2 linked regions of the Arabidopsis thaliana genome follow. The protein of the gene in region 2 interacts with the protein of the main gene of each other region in a pairwise test. Each region holds a gene or a part of one and is shown on either strand. Other genes may lie near its edges.

Region 1 (4,568 bases), on a different chromosome or scaffold from region 2:
GCACCACCATGAGGACGAAGGAGAGGTAGATCCGAAGATGAAAGAGAGCCAAAAGAGAGAGACGAAGAAGAAGAAGAGGAACCAAATAGTCTGTTTCCTCGACCGCCACCAGGTCTCAAGCTCAGAACCGTTTGATCGCCTTGCTGCATACCTCGATCTAATCCGCCTTAAGATCGAATCGAATCTCACAACAAAAATCGAAGAGAAAGGTAGAAGCTTTATCAGCGACGATGAATCGCTGACTCCGATAATCCAAGGAGAGGAGGGATCGGATTTCTGGGTCTCTCTCTCTCCTGCCGTTAGCGAAGAAGAGAAGAGAAGAGAAAAGTTGAGATTGAGAAATGAGAAGAAGAAGAAGAAGTCGAGAAGGAGACACAATCCCTTCTCTTTATTAGGGTTTTTTTCCTCTCTTTTTCCCGAACCAGACACACTTATAGCCTTAACGTTTTTTTCCGTTAAGATTACAGTTATGTCCTTTCATTTTGTTTTTTTGTCTCTTTATTTTGTCACCCTCATTGGGTTTTCCGTCAATGAACAATGTCAAATGGTAATAATGGAGCTTCCTCGGCTCGTGTTAGCTGCACCTCTAGCTCATTGTAAACATATTAAGAGACTGTAAAAACTACTAATCTGGCAAGTTGCAATCAAACTTCCACATCTCAATATCTTTACTTACAACAATTGTCTGTAACAAACTAAAGAGGCGTTAACACAAGCAGAGACGCAAAAGAAACAACTTCTGGCGTTTATAGACTCCTCCTTGTGTTTTGAATCAATACCTTCTCCTGAAGTTTCCTTGATACAGTAAGCAACTCTTCATGAAAGTGAGAAGTCGGTGGGCTGTGCAATGTTGACATCCTCAAACTCGTTATCATCTGCACATGGAAAAAAGAGATGCAATGCAATCATTATGCCGTTCATAGCTGTATAGATTCAGAATGCAATACAGCATCCTCAACAGTTGTGTAATCGAAACAAGGCTAAAAGAATAATAAGATTAGGAATCACATTCAGCTATATCACGGTCACAAAAGTTAGGCAAGACTCTTAAACATACCAAAAGATTATCCAGTGATAACAAAATAACTAAGATTCACAATAACAGGCTCAATTGAAGTCAATGGAGTTTGAAGGGTTCATATACCAAATAACATATAGAAAGATGAAGTGTGATAAGTAATTAACCAAGATGCATGATCCATTACGACATTTCAACAAGGAATTGAAAATTTCAGAATAAGAGGATCTAAGGTATAACCTTTCTTCAAAGTCAAAGCCACAACTGCATCATTCTCAACCTGAACAACCAAAAAAGAAGATGGTGACAAGCTTATAACTTTCAAATACACGCAAACGGAGGCAGTGGCTATGTGACCAAGTTCTTCTTTTAAACTTGAGCAATGACTCAAAAGATAAATATATTAGATAGTCAAACGTGTGATACCTTCTGATCTGCTAAGGATTTCGAATCCTCTAATACTTCTTCGGTAGACATTAAGACCAGACGCTGATTGTTAACTGGTTGCTCAATGAGAGCAAACAGTTTTTGCTTAACATCCAAAACAGTCTCTGTTGGATCACATTGGATAAAGTAAGTAGTTTTCATGCGCTTCACACGAATATACATAGCCTGCAAACAATATTACACAAGACTAATCAATACTACAACCAATATGGCCAAAATCTAACTTGTTCGATTGATTAAAGCAAAATTATTGCAAGACAAAAGTATCTCAACTTTTATTACTCCAAGAAGAACAGTAATAAATGTGATCAGGAAGCTGGAATTAAGAAGGGAAAAGATGTTCTCATTCCAAAAACATCTCTACTTCCCGTCAAATAAGCAAAGGATTGAATATACTAAGAACAATCAAACCCATCAAAGTGAACAAAAGAAGTAGAATGTTTACCATGGCAAGATAAGGATGAACAATTCACTCTTCTTCCGCTGCCGATTCACAAGACTTTAGAATCAAAATCTGTTCTAAGATGCCAATAAAAGATTAATCAGACTATCAGTGACAATTGACACACCTCAAAGAGTCAATTTAACTAAAGAGATGATCTAGTTATCCCCCAAATCTTTTCTTCTTTTGATATTCAAAAGAAAAGAAAAAAAAGCAAAGATTTTCAAAAATTACTGACTCAAATAACAAACAATGAAATCGACTTACCTAGATGGGTTAAGGACGAAAAAGTGACCACAAGAATGGATTAAGGATGAAATACTGGCAAAGAAATCAAAGTTGGCTTTTTTATAACTCGAGCTCAGAGCCCTACAAGGTAAGGAAGGAAGAAGAAAAATACCACTTTGGTGGCTTGTTTGGCTACAGATATAATACTAACATCGATTAGGCGTCGTACAAAACCCACTAAAAGACAGAGAGGGTTTGTTTTGTTTTAGGCTTTTATTTTTGATTGATTGAATATTAAAATACAATGCGAAAAGTCATATTGGGCTTATGGGCCGAATAACTTTATTTTATTTTTGTGGTGAAGTTAGGCCCAAATATTTTTTCGTCTTCTTCCAGTTCACGACTGAGATAATAATAATGCAAAGCAAGTTGCTATTTCCGAATGATCTCTCTCTCTCTATTCTTTTGAGTCCCAAACCCCATGGCAGGTTTGTCGCTGGAGTTTACAGTTAACACTTGGAATCTCAGGTCTCTCTCTCAAGTTCCATGTCCTTTAAGACATGGCTTTCGATTCCCGCGTCGGTTGACACGAAGAAGAACGATTCTCATGTGTTCTGGTTCGACATTTCTACCTTGTGTTCTCTCTTTTCTGATTTTTCTTCTGGATTGTGATTGGTGATGCATTTATTATAATCTTTTTAGGGTAATGTACACTTATTACCCTAAAAAAGAGATCAATTTGTTGATCGTTAAATTCCATAAGTGTTCTGGAATTGATGACAAAAATCTGCATTCGTTTCTCCACAGATTCAAGCTCTCAGTCGTGGAATGTTCCTGTTTTATCTAGCTATGAGGTAATTATGGTTTCTCTTTTATGTCTGTACTTATCAATCATATCTTTAACTCTTGAAACTGTTCACAATTTGTTAGCTAGAGATGTTTATTGACACAACCACCAGACATTTCTGTGTTTTGTCAATGAAATTATAGATGCAGCCCGTAATGAAGGATTGCGACATTTGTTTGTTATCCGTTTATGTTTAGAGGCGTTGATTGATTGAGTATCAGTGAAGTATGTTTGGTTTAAAAGGTTGGTGAGAGGCTAAAACTAGCAAGAGGAGGACAACAGTTCTTGGCCATGTACTCAAGTGTTGTTGATGGAATTACAACCGATCCAGCAGCGATGGTTCTTCCATTGGATGATCACATGGTTCACCGTGGTCATGGAGTCTTTGACACTGCCCTGATCATCAATGGGTTAGTCACTTTAAATAGTAGCCCCCTTTTCTAATTTGTCTTATTACTCAATCATCTGAGCTTCGCTTGTTGTCCTACGAATAAGCAGATACCTTTATGAATTGGATCAGCACCTTGACCGTATCTTGCGATCTGCATCAATGGCTAAGATCCCACTTCCATTCGATCGAGAAACTATTAAAAGAATTCTCATTCAAACCGTGAGCGTTTCTGGATGTAGAGATGGATCTCTAAGATACTGGCTCTCTGCAGGGCCAGGGGATTTCCTCCTATCTCCATCTCAATGTCTCAAACCAACTCTCTATGCCATTGTTATAAAAACGAACTTCGCCATTAACCCAATAGGTGTCAAGGTAGTGACCTCGTCCATCCCCATAAAGCCTCCAGAGTTTGCCACGGTGAAAAGTGTTAACTACCTCCCTAACGTACTCTCACAAATGGAAGCTGAGGCCAAAGGAGCTTATGCAGGTATTTGGGTGTGTAAAGATGGGTTTATTGCAGAAGGCCCGAACATGAATGTGGCGTTTGTTGTTAATGGTGGTAAGGAGCTTGTGATGCCGCGGTTTGATAACGTTTTGAGCGGATGTACAGCAAAGAGAACACTTACACTCGCTGAACAGCTTGTAAGCAAGGGGATTCTTAAAACTGTGAAAGTAATGGATGTGACAGTCGAAGATGGAAAGAAAGCAGATGAGATGATGCTTATTGGTAGTGGAATTCCGATCAGACCTGTGATTCAATGGGATGAAGAATTTATTGGTGAAGGTAAGTAAGATTATCATATAAACATTTTAAAAGCCTCACTTTTAATTACTTACATGATGGATAGATTGGCTGATTAAAGATGGGTTTCTTTCTGTCTGACTCAGGAAAAGAAGGTCCTATAGCAAAGGCGCTTCTTGATCTGTTACTTGAAGATATGAGATCTGGTCCACCTTCCGTTCGTGTTCTTGTTCCTTACTGAGCCAATCACTCTCTTTGTTCATCAAAGACAATAAGCTGTGGCTTTTTTGTAAAGCTTTGCTGTTATTGTAAGTTGAGTTTATCATGGGGTTTTTAGGTATCTGTCTTTGTAAAGATTTCTCTTTATCACTTTTGAATTATGATTGTACCCATTCTCAACAATTCATGGAGTGGTTGCGTCTAGTGCTCAAATTTCTTGTTTTTCATCTCTTA
Region 2 (6,322 bases):
CCCTTAAACCCAGCCTGAATTTTCTGCATCTAATCCAACTTGAGTTGTCCGTAAAGATAAGTTCCCCTAATGTTCCCACACCTTCTTTCAACGTGACCTGCACATCACCAGTCAAGAGAGGCCTCTTCCCTTGACGTTCTTTCACCAAATGACCCTCAAACTCTTCTCCACTCCAACCATCATCATCTTCAGTGTTAAAATCACCATCAAGCACAACAACATCAAGCTTTGCAGAAGCTTCAGGTCCTACTGTCAAAACATGTCCAGTTGTCATATCCAACAGTACAACATGGATTGCAGCACCTTGCTCCCCTTCTATCTTCCCTCCAGTAAACAAAGGAACAGACAATCTAGACCTGAATTGTAGCTGCAAATTCCTTCCACCGATACCTTCAATTCGTTTTGGAGACGACCTGTGAACTCAAGCATTAGAAGAAAACCACAAATACTCCAACCATTAATTTTATCTCTTTTTAAAACAGTCATATGTTACCTTTCACTAAGTCTTGCAGGGCCAAGCTTTGCCAATGCCCGCTCCACCTCTTCACTTACCTGTTTGACAATGCTCACAAAACAAATCAGTAAGCCAAAGAAACAACACAAAGCACCAAAAGACATGTAAACAATTCTTATTAAGCTAACCACTCGGCGAAGAATCGGTTCCAAAGAAGAACAAAGCCTCTGTAAACTATCCATCTTCAAGGCTTCCACAATTACACTGCAATAACACATACACAACTTTCTCAAATCCACAGACAATCAATATACATAACAACCCTTTTTTCATTCATACAACTACAAATCAATTACAGATTCAACAACGCCATAATCAATAATCAGAAAAATTACAAGCATCAACACAAATTACCTTGCAAGAGCTGGCCTTTTACGCTCAGGCTGTTGCTGCTGCTGCTGATTATCATCTTCCTCCAATTTTCTCTTCTCTCTCATACTATTAGTCCTCTCCATATACCTCGTCTGCATTTTTTACGCTGCTAGAAGCTCTGATCTATAAGATCGAAGCAAGTAAAAAACTTCACCAACCCAGAGAAAGAATCACAAATCCAGCTCTCAAACTAAAAAAAAAATCAAAACTTTACCACAAACAAATCAAACCCAGAAGCTAAGCAAGATTTTATGAATTCTACTTAAAAGCTTCTTCAAACAAACGGAAAGAGAAACCTGAAAATTCGATTCGAAGGAGAGAGAAAAATACCTCAAAAATGGTGTTTTGGATAGAAGAAAAAGAGAGAGAGATAAAATGAAAAGATCAAAAATTAATTTACTTGAAACACTTGTCTAGTTTTGTGATTAGTCGAGTACTTTGACTAGTTTTAGTAATTAAAGATAGTTATCGGGTGCGGACAAGATCACAGTAGGCTTGGATTGCCGTCACTTTTGCTTTTCGTTTATTGGACGACATTCTTGGGCCGGCGGCTAGTGTATGTATTTTTGGCACATGCTATATTCTAAAGTTGATAATTAAATAATAATACTTTGTTGTATAAAGTCCAATTATTTGTTATTAAAAAAAGACTTTAATAGTAAAAATACATTCATTTCACCAATAGCAAGATTAGGGATAAGATTCAACAATCAACATGGATATAAAAACATCTAATTGCAATGAAAAGTTAATGTTCACATAGATTTCTGTATTTTTATGTTAACTTTAACAGATTATATTCTGATTGGTCTATTAGTATAATTAAACTTTCAATCTACTTGAGCCCTGAGAATGGCCAACTCGGTCAGTTCACCAAACAAACAAAAATGATACAATTTTTTTTATAATCAAAATCAATTGGTTTTACTTTTTTAAGGTTTGAAATTTAAACAGAGGTTAAAAAGTTGCAACAAAGATCAGCCAAATTACATAACACTAGATTTAACCAAAAGGGACCAAATCTCTTTTTTGAAGTTTTAACCAACCAATCCACTAGATTCGATCAAGCTCCTTTGTCACTCACTACATTGCAATATATTATACGACATTGAAGAAAAGAAGGTATCGTCAAGTACCAATTAAGCTGAGGAAGAACTCAACAGATATTTAACATAAGCTTGAAGGTCATCGAAGAGAGTTGTTTGAGACAGACATCACTTTCCCCTGTTAACATAGAAAGGATTTTGTTTCAATCTTTTGTTATGTGACAAATCAAGCTGCTATACATCATAAAGAGAGAAGACAGAGTAGAGATTGTGTTACTTACGTGTTCATCATCAGAGTTATGTTGTCTCCTTTGAGTAAAATCCTTCCTGAAAATAGGTATTAACACGAGTTATCAAACCATAAGCAGACAGATCTGAGACTTGTTATCAAAGAGTGAGTTCAGGATAACTCACCAAGTGGTTTCCTGGTGTTCTTCTTGATGCTCACTTCTTCAGCCTCATCCAAAACTAGATTCATGTATTCGTCAAAACCCTGCAAAGGACGACGGATAAGCAAGGTTTGATGGATTCTCCTAGAAGAATCAATAATACACCCAAATTCAAGTAGACAAAAATCTAAGTTTAAAACCGAGTAGAGTGACACTATCACAAATATCATGTTCCTCCATACATATAATCAACCTCAGAAAAGCTAGGATCTTAACTCGAGGAACAACAAAAGTCAAGTAGACTGCAACATGGAACAACAAAAGTCAAGTAGACAACTCAAACCTTTAAGCCAATGAGAATGACACCATCACAAAATCTCAAGTTTCTCCAAATTATCATAGAATCAAACTAAGAAAAGCTTGAATGCTTGAATCATAACTCGAAAATCATAGAGGACATACAACTACAAGCATAGCAACAAACTGAAACAAGTAACACCCAAAGCCAAGTAGGCTGTAGGAGACAATAAGTTTTAAGCCGAAGAGAATGACACAATCATACTCAACCTAAGAACAGCTAGCTAATCAAACTAGTTTCTATTGGCAGGCTCTTATCAGTTCTTTGTGCAGTAGTAGTAACAGTGACAACTATCCCTTTTCAATTCACAACAAATGCAACAGTTCAAACACAGACTAAATTAGAGAGATAGTCACACTGCTAATGCATTTCAAACTCTCCTAAAGTTAGCATAACCCTCGAATGTCCTATAAACAAAGCCAGGAATCTAATCAATTCATGATAACGGAGCTTCAACATCAACTTACAGTGATTCTTCCTTCAATCCTCAAATCTTTCTGCTCAAATAGCCAAATCTGGATCCTAGCTTTCTGCATCACAAACACAAAAGACCAGGGAACAAATCAGTAGACGAACTACTAATAACCTAAAACCTCAGAGAGCAAATCAGAAGAAATTGAACAACTTACACTTTGAAGAAACCTAAAAATCAAGTTCTGGAGCCGCCGCCACCGGAAAACAAAAAGCAAGATACAAAATTAGGTTTCGATAGAAACAATAAAGAGATGGAACAAAGGAATCGAAGAAGAAACGTACGATAGGTTGGGTCATAATCCTTTGAACTTTGGTGCTCGCCATGGCTAACGTAGTTGGAAATCTCTCTCAAGCTTTCGAAAATTCTCTCTCAGAGGAAATCTAAAACCCTAAAAAGCGTTTGTCCCTCTGCTAATACGCTTTTTTCAACATTTTTCTTAAACTTAGTTCTCTCGGTCCTCATAAAACTTCAGAATGTTATTTCAGCCCATAACTAATTAATGTGATCATTTGGCCCAAATACTCTTTTCCAAGACCTAGAATTTTTTAGCGTAGGTTTTTAACTTTTTTTTTTTTTTTTTCAGAGAAAGATTTATTTTTAATATACTGAGGCTCAGTGTTACAACATAAAAGGCTCAAGACAGTCTACATATGAGGTCCACAACAGACTTTTACGTCACAAAAAAGAGATAAGCTTAAGACGTGTCAGACCAATAATAATAAGCTAAGGACACGTGAATCTTCCACAACCTCCACCGGATGAGACTCAAGTCTGGTGAATCGGAGAACCATCGCCGGGAAAGCACCGAGCAATGAAACTCTTTTTTTCTATCACCGATTATGGCAATTAGATGTTATAGAACAAACATCAATTTCCTAATCTCATATGGTTGCTAGAATCACAAATAATTCATCAAAACGGGTAAAGAAATTAAAAAAATTGAGTAGTTCAAACTTGTCCAACCATTGAATCTTCGAACTCTCTTGCAAAAGCACTAAAGGCATATCAAATTTGCATAGGATAGAAGCTTTAACCCAATCTTAGGCGAAAATAAAATTGAAACTGTCTTAAATATGGTAGATCCAAACGAGGGTAATTGCTGGAAACGCACACATCGCCGAAAAACTACCAGAGCCAAAAGCATAACCCAATAGTGAAGCTAAACAAAACAGAAGGAGAATAGATCTTGTAAAGAGAAACCCTCTTCAGATCTGACGATTCTGCATGCCATAAAGCTTCATCATCAAACCTTTGAAGTAACAAAACAAAAACAAAGATGACCAACGCTGTTAGTGTAAGCCCAACGCTGCCGTACGGAAGCTGGCCAACGTCGCTAAGTTAGCCAACGATGCCATACAAAAAGCCAACCATCTCCACTAACGTAGCTAGAAGATGTCGGACGAAAGCCCGAATTAAACGGGACGGCGACTCACCGGAAAACTATCCGGTTAACAAAAACAAAAGAAATTTCAGTTTCTATCTTTACAAACTACGAGAGAGCGAAGAGAGAAAAACTTTTTTGTGTGGTTTATTAACTTAGGTTTTTAATTTTTTATTATTCTGGTAAAAATATACGACTAATAATGATAATTATTAAAAATATTCTTACTTAGAAATTGGTGTCGATGATAAATTGGTTCTCAGTCGAACTAGTGTTAAAATAAATAAAAATATGACAAAGAATCACATCTATGTGCTCAATGCTAGAATTACAAAGATTGAAGAGAGATTGAAATTTGACCAAATATTATCTTCCCACATTCTTATAAATAAACAAACTTCATTCCTCACAACACAAAAATGTACAAAACCAACAATAAGCAGAAATTAAAAAGAGAAAAATGGTCACAATCTCAGATTTAAAAGAAAAGAAGACTAAAAAGCTTAGGCTATATCTATGACTAACTGAATCAAATCCAAATACAAAACAATTAGCTTTGTACAAAGAATCCAGCTTTGAATCTCAATCATTCATTATTTATCATCAGAGATTGATAAGGAACCTTCTTGATCTCCACAAATGTTGAGTACTCAGTGCTCATTGGTTGCTTCCATGGCTCACCATCCATTTGCAAGAATGCGTCTCTCCAGTCACCTCCTCTTAGCTCAAATCTTACCGCAGCAGCCTGAAATGATCACCAAAATGAAACAGTCAAACACATGGCTAAAAAGATTATACATTGACCAGTGTCTTTTGAAGTTACCTGAGCTATGTGCTTGGCAGAGATGAGCTCAGCCATGACAAATGACGCGTGCCATCCTTGCTTAAAACCGAAAATCTCTATCAAACCATCATCACAATGTGCTTCCACAAAGCCTCTCTGAGAAAAACCAAAGAAAACATTCGGGTTAACATCAGAGAACTGAGTTCATATATGATGAAATGGAACAGAAACAATACCTTCTCTAGATAGTCCGGTTTTAGATTGCCCCAAGGATGGCTTCCACTTCCATAGCTGTGAAGATTCAATGCGACAATTGATCTCACACTACAAGAGAAATCCATAGCATCAGGTTTTAAGCATTGATATCAAAGATTGTAATACATAAATCATATATCGAAAACTGTTTTTTACTTTTTCGGGACTGCGATCTCTTCCCACTGAGAGCAGTTAACCTTTTTGATGTGAATTTTCATTATGTTCCTAAGTCCCCTGCAAATTCATATAGCACAAACAAGGGGTCAACAACACAACAAAGGGCTTAAGCAGAGACTTACACACAAGTTCAACTACACAATAAGAGTCGAAATGGCGAACCTTAAACCTGGATCGTTGACACAAGGCGTGCAAAACCAACCCTGACTGCAACCAAAACTTGAATATATAATCTGCAAAAGCAAACATTGTGTGGTTGGTAATGTCGTTTCTCAAAACCAACATAACTACTTTAGCTTTTAACAAAGACAAATAATGAGTCCAAAGTTTAGGTGCAAATATAATAAACAAACCTTATTTGAAATAGGGCCTTGAGCAAGATATGGTTTAGTGTTGCGAAGATGGTGGAAGCCATATGCAACTTGAGCATCCATACCTAAACAAACCAGACAAACACAAGAATCTGGTCAGAAAAACAATTGTGAAAATTGTTTAGGATATCAAAAAGAGAAGTTCAACAAACCTATGCTTAAGTAATTGTAGAAAACACCTTCATAAGCCTTTGCAAGTG

Evidence for each region. Proteins that work in one complex are often made in the same cells at the same time.
Region 1: the proteins of AT2G18740 (region 2) and AT5G57860 interact in a two-hybrid assay, tested with the Arabidopsis thaliana proteins (one large-scale study listed by BioGRID).

The regions. Positions count from the first base shown.
Region 1 is NC_003076.8:23,435,336-23,439,903, reverse strand, and holds AT5G57860 (Ubiquitin-like superfamily protein), read right to left. Parts: upstream 2,351-4,568; 5' UTR 2,175-2,350; intron 1,985-2,174; exon of another isoform or gene 1,949-1,984; 5' UTR 1,914-1,948; coding exon 1,911-1,913; intron 1,631-1,910; coding exon 1,445-1,630; coding exon of another isoform or gene 1,430-1,444; exon of another isoform or gene 1,299-1,429; coding exon 1,259-1,298; intron 876-1,258; coding exon 817-875; 3' UTR 501-816; downstream 1-500. Other genes in the region: eIFiso4G1 (MIF4G domain-containing protein / MA3 domain-containing protein), read right to left, coding at 1-149; ADCL (D-aminoacid aminotransferase-like PLP-dependent enzymes superfamily protein), read left to right, coding at 2,617-2,752, 2,943-2,989, 3,226-3,392, 3,481-4,157, 4,262-4,356.
Region 2 is NC_003071.7:8,120,489-8,126,810, reverse strand, and holds AT2G18740 (Small nuclear ribonucleoprotein family protein), read right to left. Parts: upstream 3,591-6,322; 5' UTR 3,478-3,590; coding exon 3,436-3,477; intron 3,336-3,435; coding exon 3,309-3,335; intron 3,210-3,308; coding exon 3,147-3,209; intron 2,426-3,146; coding exon 2,347-2,425; intron 2,260-2,346; coding exon 2,214-2,259; intron 2,111-2,213; coding exon 2,101-2,110; 3' UTR 1,733-2,100; downstream 1-1,732. Other genes in the region: AT2G18750 (Calmodulin-binding protein), read right to left, coding at 1-413, 494-552, 643-718, 869-984; DGK3 (diacylglycerol kinase 3), read right to left, coding at 5,122-5,280, 5,359-5,475, 5,556-5,643, 5,731-5,808, 5,914-5,984, 6,105-6,187, 6,275-6,322.